2 linked regions of the Neodiprion lecontei genome follow. The protein of the gene in region 1 binds, or shares a complex with, the protein of each later gene. Links are inferred from orthologs where the notes say so. Each region holds a gene or a part of one and is shown in the gene's direction. Other genes may lie near its edges.

Region 1 (8,173 bases):
GTATTGATATGCTGTTTGAAGTCCAACGTTGAGTTTCATACGTTAGGACATGTCTGATGTGAGCTCGTCAATAGTTGCAAAAACGCTACTATCTAAAACTTGTAATGAATTTATTGGAATCCACCTATTCATTGCCTCTGAACTTGAGAATGGATCTGCTGTACTGACATCCAGATTTTCAACCTCGTTTTGTAGTATAAGTCTGGGATAGTTAAAAATAGGCATTCATAAGTACAAAAAAAATGTAATATTATTTTTTTATTTTTTTGGAATGCAAGGACATTTCATTACTTTTGTAAAAATAAAATGTAAATACGTCACCTAAACGAATGGAGAAATGTTCTATGCGGTTCTGTGTCTTGTCTTTCACTGTATGTATAATCCCCTATAATCGTGTGACCAATATGCGAACAGTGAACTCGCAACTGATGGCGGCGACCAGTCTTAGGGCAGAGCAATACTTTAGTTGCTGGTTTGCCGTTCCTAGTCCCTGTCTCAAGTACTAGTAACACTGTGCGCGAATCCCGAGGTCTTTCACAGAAGGCACTACCTCCTGTACACATTCTATGATTTCCATTCTTTTCGCGAATATCTTCTCCTGTAGATGTATAACTTAATTATTTGGTGCATTTTTTACCTATAGTTCATTAGTTAAATAGATTACATATATTTTAAATTTATAGTAAGTTTGATATACTTGCAGAAAAAGATGCAATCTTTATTCTATACTTTTTAATTGCTGCTTACTATTTAAAAAACAAATTGGTGCTGATTTTAGGTCAAATTAATATAGCTAGTCGTTTTTTAAATAAAATTTCATGGAGATAGTTTGTAAGTTCAAAAGTAAGCACGTTTTTAATATGTAGGATTCTACGTGTTTGCATTTTTTTTTTTTTTATTTTGTTTAACAGCAGTTTCAAACAGTTTGCAGGTAATTATTGAGGAAGCTAACCAATTGTTTCCGAAATGATAACATGACTTTTGTTTATATGTCCATGGACTAGAGCTAAATAGTATTTCTTTGCTTTTCTACTTTCAAAGGCAGTGGTGGCTGCTTTGGCAGCCTGCTTATTGAGAGCCAAGCAAATAACTCCGCTTGTAGCATAATCAAGTCGATGAACGAAATGAAATTCGTGCCGTAGCTCTGGATTGACCAGTTCAGGGAACATCATTTGTATTTCCGTTTGTAAGGTGGACTAAAAATTGTACAAATCTGTGAATAGACCGTAACCACGTTATATTTATTATCTGAATGTTATCCATTATATTTAATAATTAAATGAATTACTTTATAATTCCGGTTATTGCTGTTTATAACCAAATCATATGGCTTATTTACTACTAAGAAATTATTACTGCGATATAAAACGTCTAAGGTATTATTTTCGTTCCCTTCCATTCTACCTATATGAATGTACAAGTTTCTCAAAAATTTCCGTTACCACACTACAAGTTAAGGCTTCGTATTTTTAATTTTAAAGCGCTGTTTTAACAATTCTTTGCTTTGGTTATAACCACAAGTTTCTCTAACCGTCCTAGCCTCAACTGGAAACTGTCACAAACGAAAGATTGGGTCAATTTTGTGCAACTGAAATTTTAACCGATTAAATAATCGTTGGTCAAGTTTATTGCAGAAAACACAGAACATAAAAATACATTCGTTTCAAATATAGAATGATCCGTTTGATCAGAACATTTATAAAATCGACACTCGATTCAGTTTGTAGAATAAGCTGCCGTTACTAACCAGAAACGGTTGCCTCCTAGGTATGAATGCTCTATGCCTGGGTCTGGCGGAGCACAATAATAAATTAAAAACTATAGATCTAAATCTAATAACACAATAGATTTTGCTTCATTTACTTTTATTACATTTATTGTCGTACATGTAGTAGATCTAGAAACCTAAGTGACGGTACGGAACGTATATCACGAGGGTCACGATTAGAAATTATCTTCATTGTAATATGTCAGACGACTTCAGTCATAATAAATACACTACGTATGAAAAATTTCAAGGTTTAAATGATCTCTCAAATGAAAAATAGATTTGCAAATGCCAGTTGAACACTTTTGGCCTTCAGTTTAGGCTTATGTTCAGACCAACACGTTAAAAATACTTCCATCATGCGTGAAAATTTGGGGTTAGTAAGTTGTGCAAAAAAAAAATAAAAAAATTATCGAATAAGAAATTGAATGCACATTACGTGACTTTATGCCGACTGGATACCTTCGCCACACCACGCTTTACGCAGTCGTACAAAGAATCGCGTGTGCATGTGTCGTAAGGCAATTTGAGGGATTTTTTTTATCCGGAACCGGCAGGAATCGGTCACTGAGCACTCGACAAAGTATGCGGGAATTGCGCACAAATTTGAGCAGGATAACCACCACTGATCTCTATATGACACTATAGAGATCAGTGATAGCCACCGTTCGAGCATAGTGAACAAGGCGTTCGAGTAAATTCGAGCGTGGTCGAGCAGCTAAACTGCAACCTTTGAAGCAGAGGACCCAATAATCTCTGGACGACCACACAGCGACGTAAACAAACGACGGTAGTGCGGCGTTGCCACGTCTTGCGTGACTTTAAAACCAGAATGAAATCAATATTTAATACTTATTTTTAATAATCGAAACAACCAAAAAAATTAGTGCAAAATGTAATTCTAAATTGATTGTACATCTTATCATTATTTGTGATCTATATAAGGATGGTTTTGAATATGTTTTTTATGCCTGTTTCTCGCTTGACCTACTCTACGCCGTTGTCTATGCTATAGCCGACGGAAACCTGGTTACTGTGTTTCCTGTGCTGTAAGCACGGACTCGGCTGTAAGCTTGATTTTAGAGTTGGTTGGTACAACTGTCGTAAAGAAGTTCGTTTGAATAGTGATGTCCACGGTGAGGCGGCGGTGGTTCGTCTTAACGATATTTTTCATCCTTTAACTGTGCGGCAAGAACAGCAAAAGGAATTCGAAATATTGTGGAATCATGTTCCACGATAAGAAGAGCGTTGATCGCCACGTGCAAGATATTTTACGAAAGCTGAAGACGGAAAATGAGGTAGGAGGTTATTCTCGTATGAAAACGTTACGCGGTGTATGATGAGTACCACCGAGTCACCGTACATGCACATGCAAATGTCGATCGTCCCGCCAGAAGTGATCCCTGCATTTCGATCTAATTCCTGTATCAATTCTACCGAACCACATCATCTTCTCATGCCAGCTTATGATCTAGCTATTTTCAATTTATTTTTAGTCATCGACTTGCACAATGTCGCATATTTATATATTATTATTCATTCCAAGGCCTTAAGTACTGGCTCGGAAGCTCTGTAGATATAACACGCACTCACACTTATCTACACATAACCTGTTATCCACACATAATATGATTTGCATCTCTCATGCCATTCCAGAACCGGGCTAACCAATGTTTTGCGGTTTCCTGATTATTCTTGGACAATCCATCGCACGCTGGATTGTTATTACTTCATTATCTCTTTGTTCATCATTGACTTTTTTATCCAATAAGAGACAATTGCCAATGTACTCTTCAAAAAGCTTCTACCTTCAAATATATATAATACATGTATCTTAAATTACCTTATCGTTCGGAGTCTAAGCCCACCCCGCATATAAGACGACCCCCAATTCCGAGACAGTATTTCAGGGTGTTTGCCTTGCTTACCCGCATATGAGACGAGTCCGCGTAGAAGACGAATGATTTCGGTTGGGGCTGTCAACGACAAAAAAACCTTGGTCTATATTTCCCTTGGATAAAATTAAAAAAAAAAACAGTTTGGGTGTAAATTCATACCCGTAACTAATAAATAATATTAAATTGCCATAAGAAAAAAGTTAACGGTGCAAATTTACACTCAAGTGGAAGGTTTTTTCCTAGAGGGTTGTAAAGACATCATATTTTCTGCTGGCCTTCTTAACCTTTTACTCAACTTGAGGTATTAGTAGTGTTAACTTGTATATAAAATTTAAAAATGAAGAGCTTTATTAAAATGAATTATCATACTTATGGCTATCTAAAACCACAACACAGTCTTTAAACCTAGGAATTAAGTTGTTTGAAATGGCTGCTAAGGTGGTTAGGATACAATTTTTGATCAGGAAAATTCTTTTACACTTTTTAAGCTTATAATTCCAGATAATTTATCGTCGTTTTTATTTAACTCAAACATATCTTTAAAGTCGTATTTTTTACTTTATTTAAAATAAAAGTTAGAGCATCATTATAAAAACTTGCTGACCACCCCTAGGTTTCCTTCACCCAACTCTTACGAGTTTAGGTTTTAGAGTTCATTATCTCCAAGGTAAAAATTTAATATAAATTACAGAGGAACCTGAGATGTTACAATATTGCTAAACTTTATTACCAAGTTGGTGATTACGAATCCGCAAGGAGATACGTGTCATGTTACCTAGAAGTGCGAGAAGATTCAGCTAACGCACATAAACTACTAGGTCAAACCCTCGAGGCTCTTGGTCAGAAAGAAGCTGCGTTAGCAAAATACAAGTGCTCCCTTGAAATTGATGGCAAACAAGACGATCTAGTCTTGAAAGGTGGGTTAATCTGTTTCACTCACCAAAAAAGAATAGCTGTAGTTTTAGGACTAGAAATTTTTCTGCTCGAAATTAATTTAACTATAGGTTTATTGCTATAAATAATATTTCTGACATCATTTGTATTTAGCTTAATGTACATGTTCGTTTTATGAAACAGTTTGTGAGATTCTGGCAGACACAGACGTAGGGATGGATGTCAGCAGAGCCAGATATTGGTTGGAAAGAGCAGACAAACAGTTCCCGCATCATCCTGTCGTATTTCAGCTGAAAGAAAAACTACTAACTGTAGATAGACCAAATGATAATGCCGAAGATCTTGAAGCACTTATAGCATGTAAGTTTATTGTATAAATTGTAATTATGTGAATCCTACTACTAAGATTCCATTTAATTCATTTTTCTTTGCTGTAGGAATGTCTTAAAATTTCGAAAATTGCGTACTTCTTACTAAGTCTGTCCTATAAATTTTCACACAAACTAGTTGTATGTGCTATTACAAGTATTTGAAATTAAGGTTTTTGCATTGAATCATTTTTTTACAATGAATCAAGTCACTAGTATAGTTTTAATTGAAATGTCTGCAATGGAAAGTTATTATGATTCACAATAACAATTCCAGTTCACTGCTTAAAAGCCTGTTTTTCGCAATTCTCAACATTGTGAATTATTTTTCCAGCTGAATTGTCAGCCAGACCAAAAGATGTAACATTGCGTGTCAAATTATTGCACCATTACATGGTGAAAAATAGACTCGAGGATGGATACAAACATGCCATGGGTGTGGAATCAACCTTTACCTTTAGGGATAATATCTCATGGTATCAAACAATTTGTGAATTGTTTGGAAAGTGCAAAGACAGCAAGTCTTCTGATTGGACTTTCTGGATGCTATACATTTCAGCTCTTGAAAGATTTGCCGCTCTGTCTCTTAAAGAGCAGGGTGATGGACCAAAAAAATCTATCCCCGAAGTTGCACAGGCAATATTGAAGTGAGTAAAGTGAGAAAGTGGTAACTAAAGAATTAGCAAATAGTAATTAAAAGACCTTACTATGTAATTAAACTCTTTAGTATCTTAATATTAGTTATAAAGTACACAAAATCGAGAACTTCAAGTGCGTCTGAAATTTTTAGGTTTTATCAGCAGTTCAATGCATTCAAGTATTCAGAAGTTATCCATTTTCAGTTTACACACATCTATAAGATACTTTTGTGTATAATTTTAGTTTCGACCAAAACCTGACAGAAGCAGAGCATCATAAGAAACTTTCAAACGATCCCACTTTTGCTGAACATATGTTTGCGCACATGTGGGGCCAATTACACTTGCATTTAGCATGTCTCATGCTCCGAAAAACTAAGCGTGAGCATCAGAGTTGGAGTGAAGCAGGTCGGTTGTGCTCTCCACTTCTATTATGTGCGCTACATACCAATCCACCTGACCCTACTGCGCTTTGGGCAACAAAACTGAAGGATCTGCGCAGAGCTCAAGTTAACCTATGGTATCGAGAAGGATCTTACAGATGCAGTCAAGCTGGTAAGTTATAATCCTCATCAAATCGCCTCAGTAATTTGGTACATAGATAGGATACGAGTGTAATACTTTTTGTCTACTTGCTTTTGTAATGGTATAGTTACTTCTAGCAAACAAAATATTTTCTAGGACATGTACTTCAAGACTATGCAAGAAATGATACAAAAAGATTCTTAGACAAAATTGACAAATTTTGTACTGGTGCTTGGAGGGAACGAGTTTATCAGGTAAAAGATAGTTTTTTCACCTGATAGATGTGTATTTATTAATTACAGAATATTTCTGACAATCTGAGACAAGACTTGTATCAAATGCATTGAGTTTAATTAAAAAATTTTTCTGCAGAGAATATTTGTAAGTCGGGTGCAACAGCAATTGATGAAGAGCTCATACTTTGCCAATCATTCTTCTCCAAATCCTTCACTTAGGCTTTGCACATATAATGAGCTGAAACATCATGACGAAGGTTTGTTATACTAAGCTATGCCTTTACTGCCGAGCAATGTTTATTCACAGATGAAATTTGAAATTCCTAGCCACTGACAGTTGTCTGTTAATATTATGCAAGCCAAATCATGAGACCTTACGCCAAGAAGTCCATTGGCATGAATTATTAAATACATTTGTAATTCTGTTCCAGTCTCAGAAGAGGTTTGGCCAAGCTCATTACACCATCAAGTTTGGTTGGGCATCAAACATCGGCCACATCATAATAATCACAACAACTTTATTGGCCCTCAACCTCATCAATATTGCCACATATTCCCCGAATTGCAGTTTTCTGTCTACAATCTGAGCCATGGAGGAGCAGACAGTTTGAGTCGGCTAGATATCGATGCATTTTTGAATGCTGCAGGTTAGTATTTTAGTCAGTAAGAATTCTGAGGAGATGGGATGAAAATGTGACGAACTGCTGTAGAATGTGTGCCATGTATATATAGATTCCTCACACTTGTTTCTACCTTACTATTGACACTACAGAAAGTTTTCAAGTTAGCGATAGGTCAGTCGAAATGAATATAGACAAATACAAATCGGTATTGATTTGAACTGGGTGTGAATCGCTTTTTATTTGTTCTACTATATTTTGAGATTAGAGTAGTGTTTTATTTCAGTCGGCCACCGAATCTACAGTGCATTTCTTGATCAATAGTAAATAAAACAATTCTGCTATATAAAAGTATGTATAAGATTATTTTTTAGAAGGTTTAATCGCGATTTGCTGGTGGCTCTTGATATATTTGGATTTGATATTCTTTTTCGTTGACAAGTAATCAGATGCACACGTTCAAAATATTAAACACATTTGATTTTTTAATTATATATTCTCTTTGTGCGAACGCATGGATGTATGTGTATGTACGTGTATGATTGTGTGACAGTTTTGTGCGCCTCTGTCATTGTGGAGGATCAACAACGGAGTGGGTTCTGGAGTCCCGACAGGCTGCCAACTCTACCAGCTGACATCACCAACTCACTTTGTAGCAGTACTCAAGAGAAGTGGTGGGTATCATAAATGATTGTACTCGAAAAGAATCACCTTGTGACTTTCGAGGATTCAAAGAACCATCCATACTTACAGTTACTGATATGATAGGTGGAAAAAATTATCTTATAATTATTCCAGTATTTCAAATATTCGAGTTATAACTATTTTTGAATAGATTTTTATTCGTGTCTTAATAATTCATGATAAGATTTTTTTAACCCATTATCAACTTATATATGCAAGTATTTCAATTAAATGAGTCGATGGTGCGCTTCCATAAATATTTAACAGCTTTATGTTCTCTTTTCACCTGATATTCGAATTCCATAATATATGTTCTTATATGCTATACACTTACATTGCAGATGCCTTAGAATGAATGATGAAATTTTAGCATAAAAAATCAATTTTCCGAGAAGGATACTGATTTTCTTAGCTGGTAAAAATAATATTTTTAAAATTTCATCTTACAACAAAACTACTAAAGCAGTATAAATAGTATTTGTAGTTGGAGAAATTGACGAACATAGTGTAATATCAAATTTCGGCTAATAGACAGATCCTTC
Region 2 (7,935 bases), on another chromosome or scaffold:
AAGTTCACTGCAGCAGAACTTTAGCTATTGCACCTCCTGTTTGGTAAAGGATGGTACACCAAAAAAAATATATGTATCAATAGCTGTGCTGTTTCCTAGTTGCCAACCAAACTGCTGTTTATCGCCTCCAATTGCTCAGCATTTCTTGACTGTCTAAGCCCTGTTTGAGATTACGGCAACAATCTATTCATGTTTGGCCAAATTATTGAGTTCCTTGATTCGAATTAGTGATTTGGAGCGACTCTAGGTATTTAGGGCAATAGCGCCAAAGTAAAACTGTACAACCAACAAAGAGTTGATTCATAATAGTATTGTACTTATATTGGAAAGATACTGCTCTGGACTACCACAAGTCGCCCCAAGTGGACAAATTGAAAAAAGGTAATAAATAAAATGTTACTGCGTATTAACTTTCCAAAATTGCTTCTACATACTTGAATGTGACGGACACTTGAGTAACAGGGCTATCGTTGTCGAGCGTAGCAACGGTGATTTTGTTGCTTAGAACCTGAATGTCGAGGTTTTGGGCAGGTGCAGATTGTGTTGCAGCAGCAGCAGCTGCATAGTGTCTGACCTAGAGTAATAAGCGATGATTTACGTCTACTTTGAGTCTCGTAATGGACGAAAGTAAAATATTTACAAAAAATTTCAAACTTGCACTATAACTGCAGACTGAAGTATGGATAACATCCTTTACATAATAGTTTCACGTACAGTATAGCTCGAAATGTCGACACCAAAGTGAACCGTGCGTACAGAAACACTTGAAATCATTTCGTACATAGGAGTTTCAGCCTTGTGGATTCCGATAGATTATTTTACTTACCGTTGTATTACGCAAAAGAGGAGCTCGTACCGCCGAGCAGGCCATTTTCGTGCGATAAAATAGCAGCTTCCAGACCTACTAGACGGAGGGATTGTCTGCTAGTCGAAAAGAATGTCGAAGTAGGGTGATAGATGCCGCTAGTGTATGCTAGGTTGTAGGCAAAATGGTGGAAAATATGAACTTCATTCTGTGCAGGCCTACTTCTGCAGCGTTGGCCTCGTGCTGGGGTTCAGGGCTTGGAATAAATAATAGCGCCATTTACGATAAGAACAAAACTGACTCTGGTAATTACGATTCGCTGTCTTCTCTTTCGGAATTAAAGGAAAAACTTGTACGTGCATGCTTGATTCCCCTTCCCCTGCCCACGCTTGACATGCTCACTCCTTAAGTCACTGGGTGGATTTCACGTGCGGCAACACTTGGATACAGAGGTCTCTCTCGATACAGCATGTGCTGATTGGTTAATTCACCAAAATCACCAAGTATGAGACGAACTAATATATATATATCAGTGATGAGACGTCACCAAATAGTGATTTTGGTAAACTGACCAATCAGAGCATGCTGCGCGTGAAAATCCACCCGCATCTTAGAGCATATACCCGCACTCACATGGAGTTAGGTGTGGCTGGAAATTCTTTACTCCACGCCCACTGTACCATCTGATCGGAATGTACGTATATTTTATTCCTAATTACTATTCTATATCACTAATACGATATTCCAATTTTTAGAACTTAGTTCTGGCCAGACAAGCAGCGCTTTTTCCCACCTTAACTCTTAAATAATTATTATTCAGGTTTTGGTATTCTGTAAACGGTCTATTGAGACAATAAACCCATTAAAATATATTTCATGTAATTCTAATTATATTAAATTAGTTGCTTTTAAACTCCTATTGCCTCTCGCGTCCCCATCGAAACGGAGTAATATCTCAGCAGAGAAACACCTCAGCATTGCAGAGAAATACTTTAGCGGAGTTCGACATTTTAGTATTATGTGCCTTAGAGAATGTACAGTAATGCTCTAAGGTAAGTGCACACCATTATTATTCACCTATTAAAAATAAAATCCGATTTATTTGAAGTGGGCGGTTTGAATCGAGTTGCCCAGTGCATTTTAATACTCAATCGGTATCTGGCGACCCGAAACTACTAATTGTGCGTCTAGCTATATTTTCGTCAACGAATTCTAGTGACTAGCTGCTGGAAATTTCGGGAATTGCCGTTTGACGTCACACCACTTTGGTTGGATATTTGAATATCTTCCCATGACAACGGCGGCCCACGAAATAACGGACGAACAGAAGTTACTAGATAAAGGCATTCCTGGGCTGAGTTCAGAAACTTTACCCGAGTAAACTCGGATATCATATTGTCTTTAACACATGAGATTAAACAAAGACATAACGATACGAGTCACTCGAGTAAGGTTTCTGAACTCAGCCCTATCAGGTTTTGATGGAACTAGCATCCTATCGTACTACAAAAAAACTTTGTTGAGTACGATTTTTTTATGCTGAATCGGGAGATTTCTAGGATCTATTAGTACTTTCGACAATACCGAAATGCATGACTGTCGAATCTATATATTTCGCCCATCAAGTCACCGAATAGAGTGACAAAGACCAATAGCAATAAGGCAAGCGGGGACGTATACTTGTATCTTGATGTTTTTTCTCTTTTTATCGGCAAGTCTCTCAACTTATGCCAACCCCTACATCTTGCCCACTTAGGCCGTGTTCGTAAATTGACTGACAGTACTGAAAATTCCCTAGGACAGAGTCAGAGCCATTCGTGAACTTGCAAGCGCAAAAGAGATGAAAGATTGCTGACAGGACTGTCAGTCAATTTTCAAACACGGCCTTATTCTCTCTATGCTTGTCATAAAGCTCGCCACGAAAACTAGAGATTTCTTCCTGAAGACTCGTGCTAACAATATAGAAATTTCTTTGAACAGTTGGTACAAAATTACCTAAAGGCTTTGATCCGTACACCACGTGAAGACTGGCCCGCCAATTTGTACATATTGCATAGTAACCGGCAGCAATTCCGTACTGTGCTAACCTACGTTGTTTCAGTTATCAAAATTCTTGTCCAAATTTGTATTCTGAAAATATTGACAAGGTGCAACAAGTTTTGAATTCTTATTGTGTTGAGTCCGTGCATACTTGCAAATTGCAACACTGGGAAAAATGAATTAACCTGATACTCGTATTAATCTTACGGTTAGCAGTCAAATTACATGCATGCATCTATTACGGAATCGCGAGTTCTTTTTATTGGTTATCGATATAAATTGAATTTCGTGTGACGAAACAGTAGTTCTTTCTAAGTGCTGAACTACCTGTCATCAAAAATCATCGGCAAACGTTGCATTTTCCGCTAATATCCACCGTAATCTCAAACTTTAAGAAAAATTACTTTCCCGGCACATATTACATTCATTAGTTACTTTACTAGTTCAGAAGTATTCACTATTAGCTATGTTATTGCCCTCGCTTTCATCGTTTTTCACTCAATAGAATGCTGTGACCACTTGGATTATTATTTAATCATTGTAATTATTACATCAGATCAAGATGGAGCCGTTGCAAAAAACTGCAGACAACCTCGACCATTCAATCCAGTTGCTGGGCTCGGGTAGAACACAGAGAACTTCGTTGCTGCGATTAGCAACTAAGAGCACAACGCCTAAACGAATATCATTGCAACCGAATTTCAATCTCGAGAGAAGCTCGGATTCCATTGAAAATGTTCCCAGAAATTTTAGTGATGAATCTAGGTCGTTTCCATCCGAGGCTAAAAACCCACGAATGCGGAGGTCATACTTACATTCGAAGTCATTTGATAAATATGACACTGAGGACTTTGATACATCTATTACAATGGCACCACATGAACTTAGGGATATCATGAATACGACAGAAAAGACTGACCTTACTCTAAGAGAGCTGATGGATGATTCGACTGCCACAGGCTTAGTATTGAAAGCTAACGAACCCTGGCGTGAAGCGAATGCTAAACTATTCCATGAATTCCTTGAAAGTGTTCAGGCACACAGGGCTACACCCCAAGTATTTGAAACCATTGCAGATTTCATACAGACTTGCACAGATACATTAGAGATAATGCGGGGTAGGTACTAATTCGTTCACTATCCGACATACACAAATATGTAATGGTAATTTCTATTTTAAAATAGTCATCATAATTTCCAGTTCATTATACACATATTTTTAAATTCTGGAATTTTATAAATCTCAAATGAAAATAGAATAGTTTCAAAACAAAACAGGTGATTGAAATACTATGAAAATTATGAGAAAAGTCATTTATTCATTAACGGTACAAATGGTTTCAGTATCAACAAGTGTTTCAAAAATACCATTCAATTACTTCTTGTCTTTATCGATTGAAATTACAATATTCAAATGGAAGATAGAGTGAGTATTTTTCATTACTGTTACGTTTAAAAAATTTGTTGTCATCTTGATCACTATTTTTATACGTCTTGATGAAGAAAACACACTGTCAATCTATTGAAACTCAATACAAAGAATTGCCAAAATTCTGGTGGCTCTGTCCATTATTGTAAAGCGTACGAAAAATTATGTCTAGGTCTTACCTTGAAATAAAGTAACGAATTTGAACAGAATACATTTTTCATTCAGATTTGCATAAAACTGTAGTGCTCTGTTTAAAAGCAAAAGAAAGGAATAATGTCACAATTAATTTTCAAGGGTCATATCAATGAAAGGCAGAATAGCCAATTCGGTTTCTCCTTAGTACCTATGAAAAGCGATGTGATTGATATTTTTTGCACTGAGAGTGTATTAAAAAGTACTTTGATACTGAAAGATTAGCCTTCACCTGTACTTATTATATTTATTGATTCTACCTCAAAATTCTAGCGACATAATGTGTAATTTTATTAAGGATTCTCATATTGAACAGGTATGCAGTCAAAGGTCGAAAACACTGAAGTATCGGAGGAAGAGATCAACCTTGAAAATGAAAGAAATACTTGGCGTTTAGTGTACTGTCTGTACCAACACCGTGTAAACTCCTCAAACTTTCAGTCAAAAGTAGACATGGAACTGAAAACTAATATTTCAGAAAAGGATGTGATTGAAAACTTGTACAGAAATGAACCCTCGATTACTGAGTACCAGCTAATTGTCGATTGGTTGGAAAAAAACGCATCTGATCAAGCTGATAGTTTACCAATGATGGAGCATTTTACCGATAAAACTGTAGCATGGGAAAATACTCTTCATCAACTACAAAATCTAAATACGGGAATCACCTTCAAATCATCTCGGCCCATAGTAACATCCTTAGACCCTGATGCACCGATCCGAGAAGGCAGGCCCTTACACGACTTGGACAAAGAAGACGATGTTAGATTAGAAAAAAGAATGTATTTAGAGGTATGTATTATTCTCCTATGGAGGAATCATCACCACTCATTCGATTTTGTTTAAAGAATATTTTTTTTTTTTTTCACCAATTTTTGTGATCAAATTTATGAATTTGAAAATTTTAGATAACTTTGTGCCAATGTCTAAAGAATCCGTGTAGGTTTTTCATATTCCTTTTCTTTCAAATAACATTTATCTTGAATGATATTCGATCACTTCTCAACTTTAAATTATTTCTGGTATATCACGATCATATTATTTGTTGCAAATATCATCAAACAAAATCATTTAAGCACTATTTATAATTCTTAGCGTGTAATATGTATTGTATCTATCAACAAATACCATGGTAGGATATTACTTTTTCGTATTCAGCAATTTTGTTCTTAATCTTGTCTGTCTTTGCACGTCAAAACGGAAAAAAATGTTTATATAGGTAAGATGTGGACGGTTGCAAAAGGCACAGTCTCTATCTGTTCATTGTGGTCAACCATGGCGAGCTGCCTGCCTATTAGGATGGACACCGCATCATGATCCAAACTACACTAATCCCCTCAATAACACAAAACTTCCAATTGAAGGTAATCCTAACAGGAGTGTGTGGAAATTATGTGCATGGGAGTTATCGCAGGATAATCGAGTAGGTAAGTAAACAGTTAGATTGTGAAACTTTTGTTTTCAACTTGAAGTTGTGTTACTCAAATTGAAATTTTACATTAAGTACTCGAAAAATTTTGTAGTGTACCTTTTTTTTGCCAAATTATTTCAGGCGAATATTATCGTGCCATATACGCTAGCTTGTGTGGGAATCTTAATCAGCTGTTATGTGTATCAAAGTCTTGGCAAGACGCATTATGGGCACACATCAAAACATTGCTAGATATCAAAGTAGAAAAAGAGTTGAGAGCTGGAGTTTTAAAGAACTACACGCCAATGCCGGAAGATTATTGGAAAAACGAGATGACAATTGAAGAAGTATTTGATGCATTGCAAGCCTCAAAATATTCGAGTATTCGAATGCAATCCCACAAACCTGATCATTTGATACAAAAATATTTGATGCTTGATCAAATTCCAAAGCTAATGGAAGAAATTGAGTCATTTGTAGACTCTGGTACCTGCACGTCACAATTCCTACGTTTTGTCGCCCATTTAACTCTGTTTTTGAGACAAATTGGTAAAACTGCCAATGAGAGAATAGAGCACAAGATATTGACCACTTACGTACATGTTTTAATCGAAATGGGTGACCCGAATTTAGTTGCGTTTTATACAGCGACTCTTCCGCAAGAGGAGCAAGTTACAACTTACGCGAAATATTTGGAAAATATACGGGAATATGAACTTCGCAAACAGTGCCTTGCTGCGGCAGAGTCAACTAATTTACATGTGGAGGCAATAACCAAATTGGTCGTGGAAAATATAAGGCAGAAAAATCAGGAAGTCAACTCTTTGGATCTGAAAGGCAGTATTACAGAAGCTGATCAAGAAAAAATTGATGCGCTTGACTGGGTTGTATTCTATCAAAGTCAGCGGGAGGAAGCTTTGTGGCAAGCCAATGCTTTGATTAGGTATTTTCTTTCTATCGAGAAAATTGATGCTGCCAGGAAAGCGTTGAACAAGGTGGAGTATATTATTGTATGCCAAACGTGTTCATGCTACTTTAAATGGTTTTCAATATCAAAAATTTTAGAAAAATTATGAAATATGTAGACTGAACCTTTTTCATCTAAACGAATAAAAAATTCGAGCGTCATCGTTTCGACAGTTGAGTCTACATTAATGTCAACGTTCAAAGTGCTGGCTAGATTAAACGTTCTGTTATTAGTAGATAATTATGTTACCTAATTTTATCTAAACTTGAAAGTTGACCTTAATTTTTTCAAACACTCTATTATTATATAGATTCCCATGGATTCGATTGAAGTAATTATGACCGAATATCCGTCTCTAGAAGGGACAATGGCCAATCTGACAATGTCAAACAATTTACCGAAAAAAGCATCAGTGTCGATTCGCGAATATTTATGTTACAAAGCATACCTAGATGCGCAGGAAGGTTTCACAGAATGGTTCACGCATTTTCATCACGGCAAACCCAGCCCGCTACTCGATTTACCAATGTATGCGACGTTCACGGAAAAAGTTGCTCACGATCATAAGAAGGCTCAATATAACTCAGAGCTGGAGAGATGGAAGTGCACCATGCAGCATCACACTAAGGTATGTTTGTTATAAGCCCAGAATGAATGTAAATTATGATAAACTGCCGTCTTTTCAGTATAAATATCGAAGGGTCACAAGCAACAAAAATCGACCCGTTTTGTCAGAGTATTTTCCCGTTAGCAACGTCTATCATAAGCAATTTTACACAAAATCATTAAGTTTTTAGTGATCATAAGCAGTGTAATTTGTTTCATTTACTTGATACGTCATTTGTCTCTTGAGTATGAGTTTAATCCTTGGATGTTTAAAATTTTATTCATTAAAAGACAAACAGCGTGATGCCAATCCTATAATAATATTAAAATACGGAGAGATGTATCCGATTAGATACTCGAAATTTATTTTCAGATCCTTATTTTTTCAGCAGATGACTGAATATGCAACATACTCTTACGTGTTAGATTTAAATCATTTGAACAATTTTATTCAAGAAACTTCTTGAATGCTTGTCATAGATGTA

What was found.
Region 2: E3 SUMO-protein ligase RanBP2 (region 1) and nuclear pore complex protein Nup107 share a complex: the UniProt entries of both Drosophila melanogaster proteins name them as parts of the nuclear pore complex. The link is inferred for Neodiprion lecontei from reciprocal best matches to the Drosophila melanogaster genes Nup358 and Nup107.

Annotation. Positions count from the first base shown.
Region 1 is NC_060263.1:26,800,464-26,808,636, forward strand, and holds the start of E3 SUMO-protein ligase RanBP2, read left to right. Parts: upstream 1-2,850; 5' UTR 2,851-2,994; coding exon 2,995-3,066; intron 3,067-4,357; coding exon 4,358-4,583; intron 4,584-4,743; coding exon 4,744-4,920; intron 4,921-5,262; coding exon 5,263-5,575; intron 5,576-5,810; coding exon 5,811-6,121; intron 6,122-6,247; coding exon 6,248-6,345; intron 6,346-6,463; coding exon 6,464-6,584; intron 6,585-6,758; coding exon 6,759-6,974; intron 6,975-7,500; coding exon 7,501-7,621; intron 7,622-8,173. Other genes in the region: RNA pseudouridylate synthase domain-containing protein 1, read right to left, coding at 43-202, 322-598, 953-1,196, 1,289-1,399. UniProt on the Drosophila melanogaster protein: E3 SUMO-protein ligase. Component of the nuclear pore complex (NPC), a complex required for trafficking across the nuclear envelope.
Region 2 is NC_060260.1:13,190,057-13,197,991, forward strand, and holds the start of nuclear pore complex protein Nup107, read left to right. Parts: upstream 1-2,788; 5' UTR 2,789-2,952; exon of another isoform or gene 2,953-3,053; intron 3,054-3,401; 5' UTR 3,402-3,407; coding exon 3,408-3,963; intron 3,964-4,782; coding exon 4,783-5,258; intron 5,259-5,685; coding exon 5,686-5,893; intron 5,894-6,018; coding exon 6,019-6,872; intron 6,873-7,154; coding exon 7,155-7,472; intron 7,473-7,935. Other genes in the region: cytochrome b-c1 complex subunit 2, mitochondrial, read right to left, coding at 435-574, 827-871. UniProt on the Drosophila melanogaster protein: Plays a role in nuclear pore complex (NPC) assembly and maintenance. Required for nuclear import of Mad. Mediates the association between the nuclear pore complex and a subset of active chromatin regions adjacent to lamin-associated domains.